Linked DNA regions of Drosophila melanogaster. The protein of the gene in region 2 interacts with the protein of the main gene of each other region in a pairwise test. Each region holds a gene or a part of one and is shown on either strand. Other genes may lie near its edges.

Region 1 (7,565 bases), about 11 Mb from region 2:
TTGATTGAATTCGAATGTCTTAATGTTTGTGACTAAGCCATGAAGGAAATAATCGTATTTAAACAGATAATTATTTATTGAAATTACATTTAAATTAATGATTGTATTTAATAATAATTTTTACTAATTTACCGGCTTTTAAGCACTACCAAAATCAATCGGCGGATAACATTAAAAAGCCCCCCCCCCCCCCCTCCTCTCCATTTTAATTGCCATTACCATACACCATCATATTGCTTCTTCTTAAAATGCTAAGAAAACGATAAAAAAGGAAAACGAAAACGAAAAAAAAAACTGCTAAACAAAACCACCTTACTTATGTATAGCTTTTAGAAATCATTAGTTTTAAGTATAATTCTGGTAGGGTTGGCCTTCTTCAAAAACAAAAAAAGAACATAGTGAAGGTTTCAACACAATTTTAAAGAACTGTTGTATTTTTTTTAATTAAGATAATATTACTGATATATAATATTAAATATATTACTGAATGGAATAAGTCATAAAAGCGAACTTTCCTTCTAGATCTATATGGACTATAATTTTCTTTGTTCGAGCGGGTAAAACTAGGAAGATATCACGGAAATTAAAGTATATTTGAGTTCGTAACTATCTAGATAATGTAGAAGTTATACCTTTTTTTTAACTTAATTAGTTGCACAGATTACTTTCTCACTCATAGGCCTTGAAATTGTCTAATAAAGGAGTAATAACAAATATAATTTCTAATCCCTAAAAGGAAGATATTATTAAAGTTAAATTGTTAAACTATATACAATTTTCTTAACCTATCAACTCTATATACAATTTAATCAACTCTATATACTCTATATACAATCGTTTACTTCTTTCAGTTCCTAGCATCATTTTGTCCTAAGATTAATAATAATAATTTAACTATGTTAACTGGGCTGAGTCAGCAATGCCTCAGTAATTTCCTTGCTAGTATTTGTATCCAAATGAATTCCATTGCTAAACGACAGCGGCAGTCCATTCAAGAGGATCTGGTTTTGAATCTTCTGCATCCTGACATGGTACTTTATGCCAGCCTCGGGCAAGTTTTCGCCAAAACGATTCTCCAGAAAGGCAGACTCCACCGTGTACATGCCGCAGACGATGGCATCCTTGCAGAGCTTCTCCAGGCGCGCCTGGAGCAATCGATAGTGGCGATACATGGACATTCTCTTGGCAATCTTAGGCTCATCTAGCCAGTAGAATTCGCTGAGTGTGTCCATGGCAACCAATTGTATGCCAGGATCATTGATGATCGCGTAGCGGGCGTCGATTAGCGACGTGGAAACATCATCGTTTGCAAAACAGTTGAGGAATCGCACGCGACTCATGCACTCGCCCGCAATCTCGGCCAGCTGCTCCTCCGTGGGGCATTTCGCAGCAATCACTTCGCCGACAGAGTACGCCTTCAGCTCCATCCTAATGCTCTTGGCCAGAGATTCACGGTTGATCTTGTGACTCAGATTGATCAGCAGGACGCTCCACTGGCGACCACCGAATTTGTAGGGCACCAGGCAGTGGGCCACCAACTGTTGGAGCACCAGGCTTTTGCCACTGTTCCCTGGGCCGGAGATCTCCACCAGCGTATCGGCTTCAAAGCCGCAGGAGCCAAAAACGGCAAAGTGGAGTTGATGTGAGCCCATTAGGTTAAATTTACAAATTTGCGCCCTGGCATAAACAAAGGAGTTATCGATTGTGGCCTTTATCGATGACAGCCACCTAAAGTTGAATTGCGCAGCGCTGAAACATATTTAACACTAAATGGAACTAGGGCATATCGAATAGTTAAACAACAGCAGCAAGCGTTTCGTTATAACTTTCAGTTAGCATTTAGACTTATTTGCGCACATACATAAAAAAAATCCATTTTCACCACCCTGTGTTATCGCCCAGCCGCCTATCGCTGCTGGTGCCTAATTTAGCCCTAACGCCTGGGCGATGATAGAAAAAACGGCATAACGCGTTCTTACCAGTTGAACATCGTTTTCTACCATTTTTTGTTTACGTTTGCACCGCGAATATTCGTGCACCTGCACTCGCAATTTGCTCAAAGCCAGCGGCGCTTTTTCGCCGGCAAGTTGCTCCGCACCGAGTTAAAGCATCACTCAGGCGGACGAGCTGGTGTACTCCAGTTAGCTTCTCGCCCCAGCACTTGTAATTGTCATTATCGGCGGGGCGCCTTTGATCATTCAGCGGCATCTCGAATCCGAACCAAAAGTGGTTCTTTTGTTCTCTTTCTGCTTTGTGGCCACCTTTCCGCGCTCCCCGCTTACCGCTTCCCGTCTCCCGCGCCGTGCTTTTTCTTTCTGGCCACCTAGACACGTCAACAGATTTGGAACTTTGTAACTGGAATCTGGAACTGGGCATCGGAATCGGAATTAGGGAGAGATGCGCGTGAGCACCATCCGCAGCGGTCGGATCTGCCGGCTGGCATTGTGCCTGCTGGTACTGCTGCCGCTGCTGTATCTGCTGGCCAACTGGAGCGATCACCACAAGCGCGTCCAGGAGGCGTATCACACGCGCTTCGGCGGACCCAAGTTCGCCCACCAGCGATTGGAGGGCAGGCCCAGGGAGGTGCCCAAGCTGGTCGATGGTAAGTGGCTACAGGATCGAGGATAGCAATATCAGCCCTTGACCAGGATAAAGAATAGGATTGTGTCACCCATAACGTGAGCCTTGCCATTAAGATTCCTCACTCACGTATTATACAATTTTATTATGGAGGACTATCATCAGAACTAAGGATACAGAGTAGTTACCATATCATTGTTGAAAAGACCGAGTTGTTTGCTTACTGCAAACCCAGCTAAAGAATTCAGTAATCTTTGCTTTATATCACTTAAAACCGGCTTTTGCTCGTTTTAACCAATTAATTACTTGCCATGTATGCTACATAGTATTCAAAGAAGTCTTTATTACCACGTTTAGCGTGAGTAAAGTATGGTTGGAGGTTAAAGGATAACCTTTTCCAACCCATATCGTACAGTCTATTCCCAGTCTAACTTACGAGCCCATTTCAAATATTTATCGCATTCTATTATACATTCTCCAAAACCGGCTTTGTAATGGCCCTAACCAACCAACTATCAAATTCGGATAGAGTGAGAAAATAACCTCATAAAAGTCATTTTTACTGCACAGCCACCAAAACTAGTGTGTCTTTAGTCTTTTGTATCAAATGCTAATTCTAGTCGTAGAATATTCCATATGACCATAAGATGGTTAGATGATGGCATATTATTGGTCTGTAATACCCCGCCTTTATGCATAAGTCTGAAATTATAACCCACACCTCCTGCAAGCGCATACAGTGAGTGGCTGGGCCAATATTTAAACAATTGCTGTAAGCTTGCATAGGTAATTTGCACGCGCCACACTCACAATTTGTTTTTGCGTTTTTCAGGCCTTGGCAACTTTGAGCCGAAAGATGTGAAGCCACGTAGCGGGCCTGGCGAGAATGGCGAGGCCCACAGCCTGTCGCCGGACAAGAAGCACATGTCGGACGCCTCCGAGATGGAGTACGGCATGAACATCGCCTGCTCCGATGAGATATCGATGCACCGATCGGTGCGGGACACGCGGCTCGAAGAGTGCCGCCACTGGGACTACCCCTTCGATCTGCCGCGCACGAGCGTCATCATTGTCTTCCACAACGAGGGCTTCTCGGTGCTGATGCGCACCGTGCACTCGGTCATCGATCGTTCGCCCACGCACATGCTGCACGAGATCATCCTGGTGGATGACTTCTCCGACAAGGAGAACCTGCGCAGCCAGCTGGACGAGTATGTGCTGCAGTTCAAGGGGCTGGTCAAGGTCATCAGGAACAAGGAGCGCGAAGGTCTCATCCGAACGAGATCCAGGGGAGCCATGGAGGCTACAGGTGCGTATAGCCCATATCTCATTTATGTATATTGTTATGTGTTCTTGCATAACTTGCATAACTCATGACGGCTTATCGCATAGTTAAAAGAACGTGTTGTATGGAAAACAATAGTTTTATCTTGAGATGTTTGCATCAAACGCTGAAACGCCAGCTATTTGGAATTTGAATTGAAGATAACTTCACGTTCCGCTTTGTGGCAATGATAAACCTTTAAACTGCAGACTCATTGAATTTCTTTTACATTTTCTCAGCATAATAGAATTGCCTATCATTGCAATTGAAGCAAGATTATCGTCGATTTCAAACAAGCCTTTTAGCATAAACAGTATGCATAGAAATTTACAAATTACTATTTTAAAGCATCATCCTTTAAATCATCATATTAACCCACAACCTTATAAATATCCACACAAACACTAAACTGCTTTGCATCCCGCAGGTGAGGTGATCGTCTTCTTGGACGCCCATTGCGAGGTAAACACCAACTGGCTGCCGCCCTTGCTGGCGCCCATCTACCGGGATCGCACTGTGATGACAGTGCCCATTATCGATGGCATTGACCACAAGAACTTTGAGTACCGGCCGGTTTATGGCACGGACAACCACTTCCGCGGCATCTTCGAATGGGGCATGCTGTACAAGGAGAACGAGGTGCCACGTCGCGAGCAGCGCCGCCGTGCTCACAACTCGGAACCCTATCGCAGTCCCACGCACGCCGGCGGCCTGTTCGCCATCAATAGGGAGTACTTCCTGGAGCTGGGCGCCTACGATCCGGGTCTGCTGGTCTGGGGCGGCGAGAACTTCGAATTGAGCTTCAAGATCTGGCAGTGTGGCGGCAGCATCGAGTGGGTGCCATGCTCTCGCGTGGGTCACGTCTATCGCGGCTTTATGCCCTACAATTTCGGCAAACTGGCTAGCAAGAAGAAGGGTCCATTGATCACGATCAACTACAAGCGCGTCATCGAGACGTGGTTCGACGACACGCACAAGGAGTACTTCTATACGCGCGAGCCGCTTGCCCGCTACCTGGACATGGGCGACATTAGCGAGCAACTGGCGCTGAAGAAGCGACTGAACTGCAAGAGCTTCCAGTGGTTCATGGACCACATCGCCTACGATGTGTACGACAAGTTCCCGGGTCTGCCGGCCAACCTGCACTGGGGCGAGCTGCGCTCGGTGGCCTCCGACGGATGCCTGGACTCGATGGGCCACCAGCCGCCGGCCATCATGGGCCTCACATACTGCCATGGAGGCGGAAATAATCAACTGGTTCGGCTCAATGCCGCTGGCCAGTTGGGCGTCGGCGAGCGCTGCGTGGAGGCCGATCGGCAGGGCATCAAACTGGCCGTGTGTCGTCTGGGGACAGTCGACGGTCCTTGGCAGTACAACGAGCACACGAAGCACCTGATGCATCGCGTCCACAAGAAATGCATGGCCCTGCATCCGGCCACGCAGCAATTGTCATTGGGTCACTGCGATGTTAACGATAGCTACCAGCAGTGGTGGTTCAAGGAGATACGCCCACGCTGGTAAGTCCAGCATGTTTGGGAGGAGCAGCAGGAGGAGGAGGATCAAGGAATGGATCACAAGGGTTTCAGCCGGGGCAACGGGGGCGATATTTTAGACAAAAGCAATTTAGTGAAAATGAGAAATGGAATTGTTGTTGGTTTTGTAACGCATATAAGTATTGATATACACACGAAAAACACAAGATATCACACACATCTGCATTTATGACGCGAACTGTATGTACATATGCACTGTCGGCACTTGGAAATCGCCTGGGCAACCGGGATTCAGACAAGGGCATTCAATGCTCGGCGAATAAATAAATCCACAAGGATATTATTAAATTATTAAAGCTTAAGAATTTCGATTTTGTAAAACAATGTCGTAAGGAATCGCGAACAATTGTATTTCCATGTAAGCATTAGAACAATTGCTTTTAGACCATATTTGTAGTGCATGAAGTGAATGCAATTTTCAAAATCGTGTGTGTGTGTTAGTAGTAGTCGTACTTGAAAACTGTTTTCCACTTTTGTCACGAAAGATCAAACTCCACAAAATGCACTTAGTGCAGAGCGTACGAAAATCATCACAATTAGCTGATAGTGAACCCATTCCCATTTCGATCGGCGAATCTCATACAATAGATATTCAATTGATATTTGGGAGGATCCAAGCCTGGGGGATTTCCGTGCCGACCTCGTGTGTGTGTGTCCTTGCGTATGAGTGAGAGAATGCGATGGGTATAGAGCGGAAGCGAATAAGAGCGAGATAGCGCGATGGCGGGATGGCGAGTCGAGTGCAATAGAGGATTTATGAAACGGGAACGGGACGCGATGACAGGGCCGCAGATTGTTTTGCTTTATGATTGCCAACTGAAAAAATGAATGTACTAACCTTAGTCTATACTCCTGCAAGTCCAACTAATCCTAGCTTAGTTTCAACGCTGCCACATTCCAATCTAATCCATTATAATCTATTCTAATTCCAATCCAATCCAATCCGAACCGAACCAATCGAGTCTGCAGCGAAGCTCGGCTCTCTTACTACTAATCCCATTATTTTTTTTTAAACTCTTGATTTTCGTAAAGCTCTCTGTACCAGGTAGTCGTAATCGTAATTGATCGTTGCAAGTGCTTCGGGAGTTTGATTTTTGAAAACAATATTTTACATTCATGTGTAACTTTAGAGTTATCGATAAGTCTGAATAATAGCATAGAAATAAAAACGTTTTCTAAACACTTTACCATGTAAGCCGAGCTGTTGAATGTTTAATATTGTGGGGAAGGGTCGATCCATTTATAAATCAATAGATATAATAAAGTTCCCATCTCAAGATGTGCTCACAATTTGAAACCTAAGTGCACAGAACAAGTTCGCATTTTTCGAAAGTTTTTAAAATTTCTTTTAATTTTATATTCTTTTGACGTAGGTGCACCATTAATGCCCCGCCAATTCTTTAAGTGTACGCATAGAATGGCGAGTAAATCCAATTTTAAGCAGATGATTCATAACTTATTGTTAAATCAAATCTACAATTATCGATGGCCGCGTTGATTGGGAGTGGTGATGATGGGTCGATTCGTCTCGAAGGTACTCGACGTCCCACTTCCAGGGAAGTCCACGGGCGATAAGATTCCGGGAAGTTCTTTCCTCCATCGCGGGTAGGGAAGTCTAAAAGCGCGAGGAAGGGGGAGGGAAGTCCAACAGGGGGACGCCAGCAGGTGTCAATCCTGGGGCAATAGATTGCGCCTAGAGTTAGTTTTTGGCTAATCAGGGCCTGAGGAAAAAAAAAAGATTGTTTGTTTACCGTCGGATAGGAAAGGTCGTACTCCCAAAGTGGGAGTCGTGGTCTTATCTTCCGCCCATTGGTACACCATCGCAGCTGCCGGCGGGGCGAAAGGGGGATGATTGGATCCGAGCGCAATAACACCGAAATTGTTCAATTTAATTGAGTGAAGTGGGAAGCTTCCTTATCAGCATTATTATGGTTACACTTCCGTGGGGTCGCTGCACTGTAAGGTGCTAGATATAAAAAAAAGCCCAATAACTCATTTATTTATCCTCTAAGCTCTAATTCAATACAAGAGTTTCATTTCTGAACGAGAAGTAGAGCAGTTCCAGCGTCGGTGTGACTCTTTTTCCGGTATTGGATTAGACATTGTCA
Region 2 (5,142 bases):
ACATTAGCAGCAGTCTTTTCATATGTATACACATACCACATACTTAGAAATGTTTACACACTCAGATGAAGCGAATAATACACGTTGCTTAATAATTTAATAACTTGCCATGATGGGAATGATTTACATTTAATTTAGATCAACTGCTCACACTGTGTTGAACTTCACATCCTGCCATCTAGTGCCTAATCTTTCGATTTCTATCTGAACCGATTTCTTCCCTCCAGCAGCCCATTCTTGGGCTTGTGGATTTTTCCCGCCAGATATGGTGAGCCGTTTCGATCCGGATGTTTAGCCAGCATGGCTCGTCGGATCCATGGAGCGTTAGGACTAATACTTAGTATTTTAGATGCTTCACGGTGCGACATCCGTTTCTAAATACATAATTATATTAAGGAAAAGAATTTGTTTGAACAAAACGTACAGCCATTACCTGAAAGCATCCGCTATAAAAGCGTCCTGTTCCTAGATTTCCAAAACATAACCTCAGCTGACCAATCGTCTTGGTGCTGTTGGGCGATCTAAAGATCTGGGCGGCAACGCAGCAGGTAGCCACGCCCACTGCCACAACCGTGCTCACAAGAGGTAGATAGTCACTAAAAGACGGAGAGACTTTACTGGCTTGCATTTTGATTCTGAATAGTTTTCGCCCGAATCGAAAAGAATATTTATGGTATGAAAATTTTAAAAAGAATATTCAATGTATGGAAAATGTTATGCTTGACATTAAATTCTAATGTACATTGATCATTTGTATTCAAGCAAGAATAAACATCAGACAAGAGTCACTAAAACTCATGAACCTATCCCTAACCGTAAAACTTAAATTTGAACGTATCCTTTTCCAAGTAGACCAATCAAAATGGGCTCTTTAAAGTTTTAAAGGGCCAATCAATTTAAGCCTTCTTTAACTTAAAGTGCCTATAACACAGACAAAAGGCTGAAGCCTGGCCGCACTTTCACTTTATTAACACCAAATTAATTTTGTCTCGAAACAAACACCCAAGTATATGTACACAAATACGTATAGTTTATATATATTTATGTATATGTTGAATTCAAAAACCCCCAAACTAAAGTTACACACATGAATACATTTCGTGCACAGTTGAGTGCAGCGATTGAATTTTAAACAAGAACGAGAAATGCCGGCAATCAAGTCAAGTCAAGTCAAGAAGGAAAATGAACTTGGAAAGGAAACTCCAAGGCGACGGGTGCTATAATCAATATGCAGCAGTCAATAAGAAGGAGCAACAATTACACAGGACCTGGGGAATAGATGGGAATTAAGGCTGGGGGGGGTGAGGGTGGTATGGGCTTGGATGGGGTGATGGCTCGGGCTTGCCCCATAGTTTTGCAATGTGCCTCGGTTAAATGATGTGTAATCGTCTTATGTGCACTCGAATGCCTTTTGGCTTCTAATATGGCTGGGCATCAAGCAAGGACCCAGGACTACAGGACTTCAACATACATACACACACACAAGCTCACACAGGACAGCAGGACAGCTGAGGACAAAGGCTGGACCCAAGGACCCAAGATCCCCACACGCCCACACACACAAAAGAAAACTTTGCCATAGGCTGACCTCAAAATGCACAACGACACAAACTTTAATTTACAATCAATTCAGGCGTGAATAATAAACCACAAGAAACCAAACAGAGAGTTTTCCCCGAGACGAAGTGAAAGTGTTGCCGTTGTTGCCCTTTGTCCTCTCGAAAATTTAGTTACAACACACAACACCAAAAGTTTGCCAAGTTTTCGAGGCAAACAAACAAAACTCTGGAGTAGCAACTCGTACCCCCATTGAATTTACCCAAAAACCGCAACACTTCCGGATTTCGAGCATCTACTCCTTGGATAGGAAATTCCGCCCAAGTGGTCCTCCTCGGCCATCAATATTGTTTTCCTATTAAATTGATCATTGGTCAGTCAACAATTGCGGCGAGCTCCATTGTCCACTTGACCATCACACAATTGTCTGGCATTTTCAAAGCACTGACGAAAATTCGGGAACATTTATTTAATTTGTTTGTTGAGTAGTGTTAGGAAGAGAGAATTCCGAAGATCGAGCGAACTTTTACCGTTTTCCTTGCGTGAGATGTGGCGCTCTCTCATTTTCTCTGTTTGAACCTCTTTCAGTTTTCATTCTCGCGAGCGTAAGTAAAGTGCGCAGTTGTATGACAAAAACGGAAATAATAGAAATTCTTCAGGTTTACAGCTCTAAAATTATTTAAAACGCAATAAACATTAAGATTAAATGTGATCGCACAACTGAGTGGTGAATTCGGTAACAAATTTTAAGTTTAAATGGTAGATTTCGCATATTTCTCGTGAGTGACGCCACTTTTCACATGGCAGCACACTTTGCAATGCAGGAACCGTTACTTTTCTTTTGTGCGCGTGCTTCGTAAGTGCGCACTTGTTCGATCTCTGTGTATTTGTTGTTTTAACATAACCTTACCTAACAGAACGGTTAAAAGATAAATTGTAAATTTGTATACACATGCATATGAAACTCCTCGTGTTTTCGGCTTTAAAATTGTTTAAAACGCAATAAAGATTTATATTAAATGTGATCGCACAAGTGCGTGGTGAATTCGGTATCGAATTTTAAGTTTAAATGGTAGATTTCGCATATTTTTCGTGAGTGACGCTTCTTTTCACATGGCAGCAAACTTTGCAATGCAGGAACCGTTACTTTTCTTTTGTGCGCGTGTTTCGTAAGTGCGCGTGTTTCGATCTCCGTGGATTTGTTGTCTTAACCTAATCTATCTTAACCTAACGGTAAGTTAACTCCAAATTGTATTTACATATTTACATATATACGCGAAATGTTGCATTTTTAAATTGGGAATTTCACAGAATATTAATCATAAATAAATATAAACTATTAATGTGTATACACAAGTATATGTCTATAAGTAGGGAGCGTTTACTTTTTTATTCTGTAACCCAGAAAGTCTAGTTGCACAGGAAATACAGAAATGCAGATCCAAAAATCCTTTTGTGTCAGATATTTGTGGCAAACCGGCAATGACAATCAATTGCGGACGAATCGAGAATGTGGGGTCTTCAAGTGGGTAAACAAAAACAGTTGCCTACTTACCGGCATCAGGACACCAGACATCAGGATATCAGGACATCGAGTGGAGCAGTCAATCAGTCAGTTCCTGGTTCGCTGATCTGTGAGCCTGTGATTTCTATGAGTCCTGTGTGTCCTCAGGGTCCTGAGAGTTGCTCTACGAGTATTTGCCTCAACACCCACTGCAAATTAAATTCATTAGTCAACTTCCGGCTGGGAAATCTGGTATATGGGAAAACGAGAGTGAGAATAGTATGTGTTGCCATCTGCTGGCTGCTGTCAATTCAGACGGATTTGAAGTCAACTCAATTTGAAATCAATAGTGTGTGAATAATCCTTTCACACCGACACATCGACGCACATGGTTGGTGTGCATCTAATATTCCCATTCTCCAAGCCCCAGTGGAAAAGCCACGTTTTCGGGGACTGGGAGTAAAATGCATCTGGTGCTAGGATTGTCTAGTCTGGATGGTTGGATAAATGGCTGGATGGATGGCTGACTAACTGACTAACTGGATGCTGGGCACTTGAAAACGTTTTTGCATTGATTGCACTTCATATCAGCCATCCAATCCAGTCAGTGATTCGTGCACTCATTCATTCATTCACTCGTTCAAGCAGGCCGTTTATTCATGCCACTCGCATATGTTGCATCGCCATTTTTTGGGTTGGAGCAATCTCAAACCCAAACTGAAACCGAAAACACGAACCCAAGTAGACATGGCAACAAAAAAGGCAAGCCATTAAGCGATGACGACGATGAATGTATTTAAGCAATTCAATGGTATTTCAAAAACAGCACACAGTACAAAAAAAAAAAAAAAATACAAAAAAATATTATAAAAAATTTTTAAATTAAATAATTAATTTTAATTAGATAAGTATTGTAACAGCATGAAAAGTGGATGAACTTCTTTATGATGTTATGTCAATATTGTACCCATATAATATTTTACATAGAACAACTACTTCCAAAAAATCATAGAAGGCGATTAAGAAATTAAAAAATGTAATTGTATTAAACCTTTTTTTTTTTGAGTGCAGCGCCACCTGCACCACCCACAGCTGCAGCACTTCATCCCAGTCGAGTGGCAAGCAATGAGCTATGCATGCAATTCAAGTGCCACATCTGCAAGTGCAGCTGGAAATGCAACTGCAATTGCAGTGACTGCCTTCCGATTCCCAGACAACAACCAAAAAAGTGCACAGTCCACGGGGAAGCCCCAAAAATTTCGGTTGGTTTGATGGGGCTTGCAGATCCGAGGGGCATTCCAGCTTCCATTCCCATGTGGCACCACTTGGTATCTGTTTGTGTCCGTAATTGTGCATAATTGAGTTGAGCCCTCCATTTTCAGAGGTATCTTTGTGGCACGGGCAAATGGTATGGAGGAATAAAGGCGGGTGGGCAATGTGCTTTATATCTATGTTCCAAAACGATTATAGGCAGTTTAAATTCACTGAAATATTTAAATAGGTGAGATTCGATTGGAAAAGCAAAATAGTTCGATATTAAGAAGAAATACTTAGCAAAATAAAGGTTTATATAACAATACACTTTATGTTAGGTGGAATTTTATTTTTAACAACTGATGGATGATAGATGGCGTTGATTTAGTCGAAATATATGTCAAATAGATGTGACACCCCTTCGATTTAGTTTTCGTCTGACATTCGTTTGAATAGCACACAATCGCGTAGATTTCGTATAACATATACACATAGTTTTGTATAAAGGAAAGCGCAGGCTATGGATGTCGAAACAAGTCTGGATATCGAAGAAATGCGCCGAAGGATTCAGCAAGGCATCAACAGATGCTGTGAACAACTGCTTGAAATAGCCATGATTTTAACCCATAAAGGTGGTCAGGTTTTAAACCGTTTGAAGGGAGCATCATTCCCGGAGCTCGCCCAAAATAGTGAAAATATCGGTAATGGTTCAATGTCCGAAAATCAGAATCAAAGGCTCGATCCCATGACAAGTGCACAATATACTACTTTAGGATTTGGAAACTTTGATGGCGAGGGGGACTACTTGCGGCAGAAGAATAAAATCA

Evidence for each region.
Region 1: the proteins of CG1677 (region 2) and Pgant7 interact in a two-hybrid assay, tested with the Drosophila melanogaster proteins (one large-scale study listed by BioGRID).

Annotation. Positions count from the first base shown.
Region 1 is NC_004354.4:18,494,269-18,501,833, reverse strand, and holds Pgant7 (polypeptide N-Acetylgalactosaminyltransferase 7), read left to right. Parts: upstream 1-1,847; 5' UTR 1,848-2,397; coding exon 2,398-2,602; intron 2,603-3,412; coding exon 3,413-3,889; intron 3,890-4,331; coding exon 4,332-5,425; 3' UTR 5,426-6,767; downstream 6,768-7,565. Other genes in the region: Xrcc2 (X-ray repair cross complementing 2), read right to left, coding at 900-1,652. UniProt on the Drosophila melanogaster protein: Glycopeptide transferase involved in O-linked oligosaccharide biosynthesis, which catalyzes the transfer of an N-acetyl-D-galactosamine residue to an already glycosylated peptide.
Region 2 is NC_004354.4:7,402,793-7,407,934, reverse strand, and holds the start of CG1677 (uncharacterized protein), read left to right. Parts: upstream 1-2,137; 5' UTR 2,138-2,790; intron 2,791-4,760; exon of another isoform or gene 4,761-4,835; coding exon of another isoform or gene 4,836-5,142. Other genes in the region: CG32727 (uncharacterized protein), read right to left, coding at 201-374, 434-628; CG15035 (uncharacterized protein), read left to right, coding at 4,836-5,142.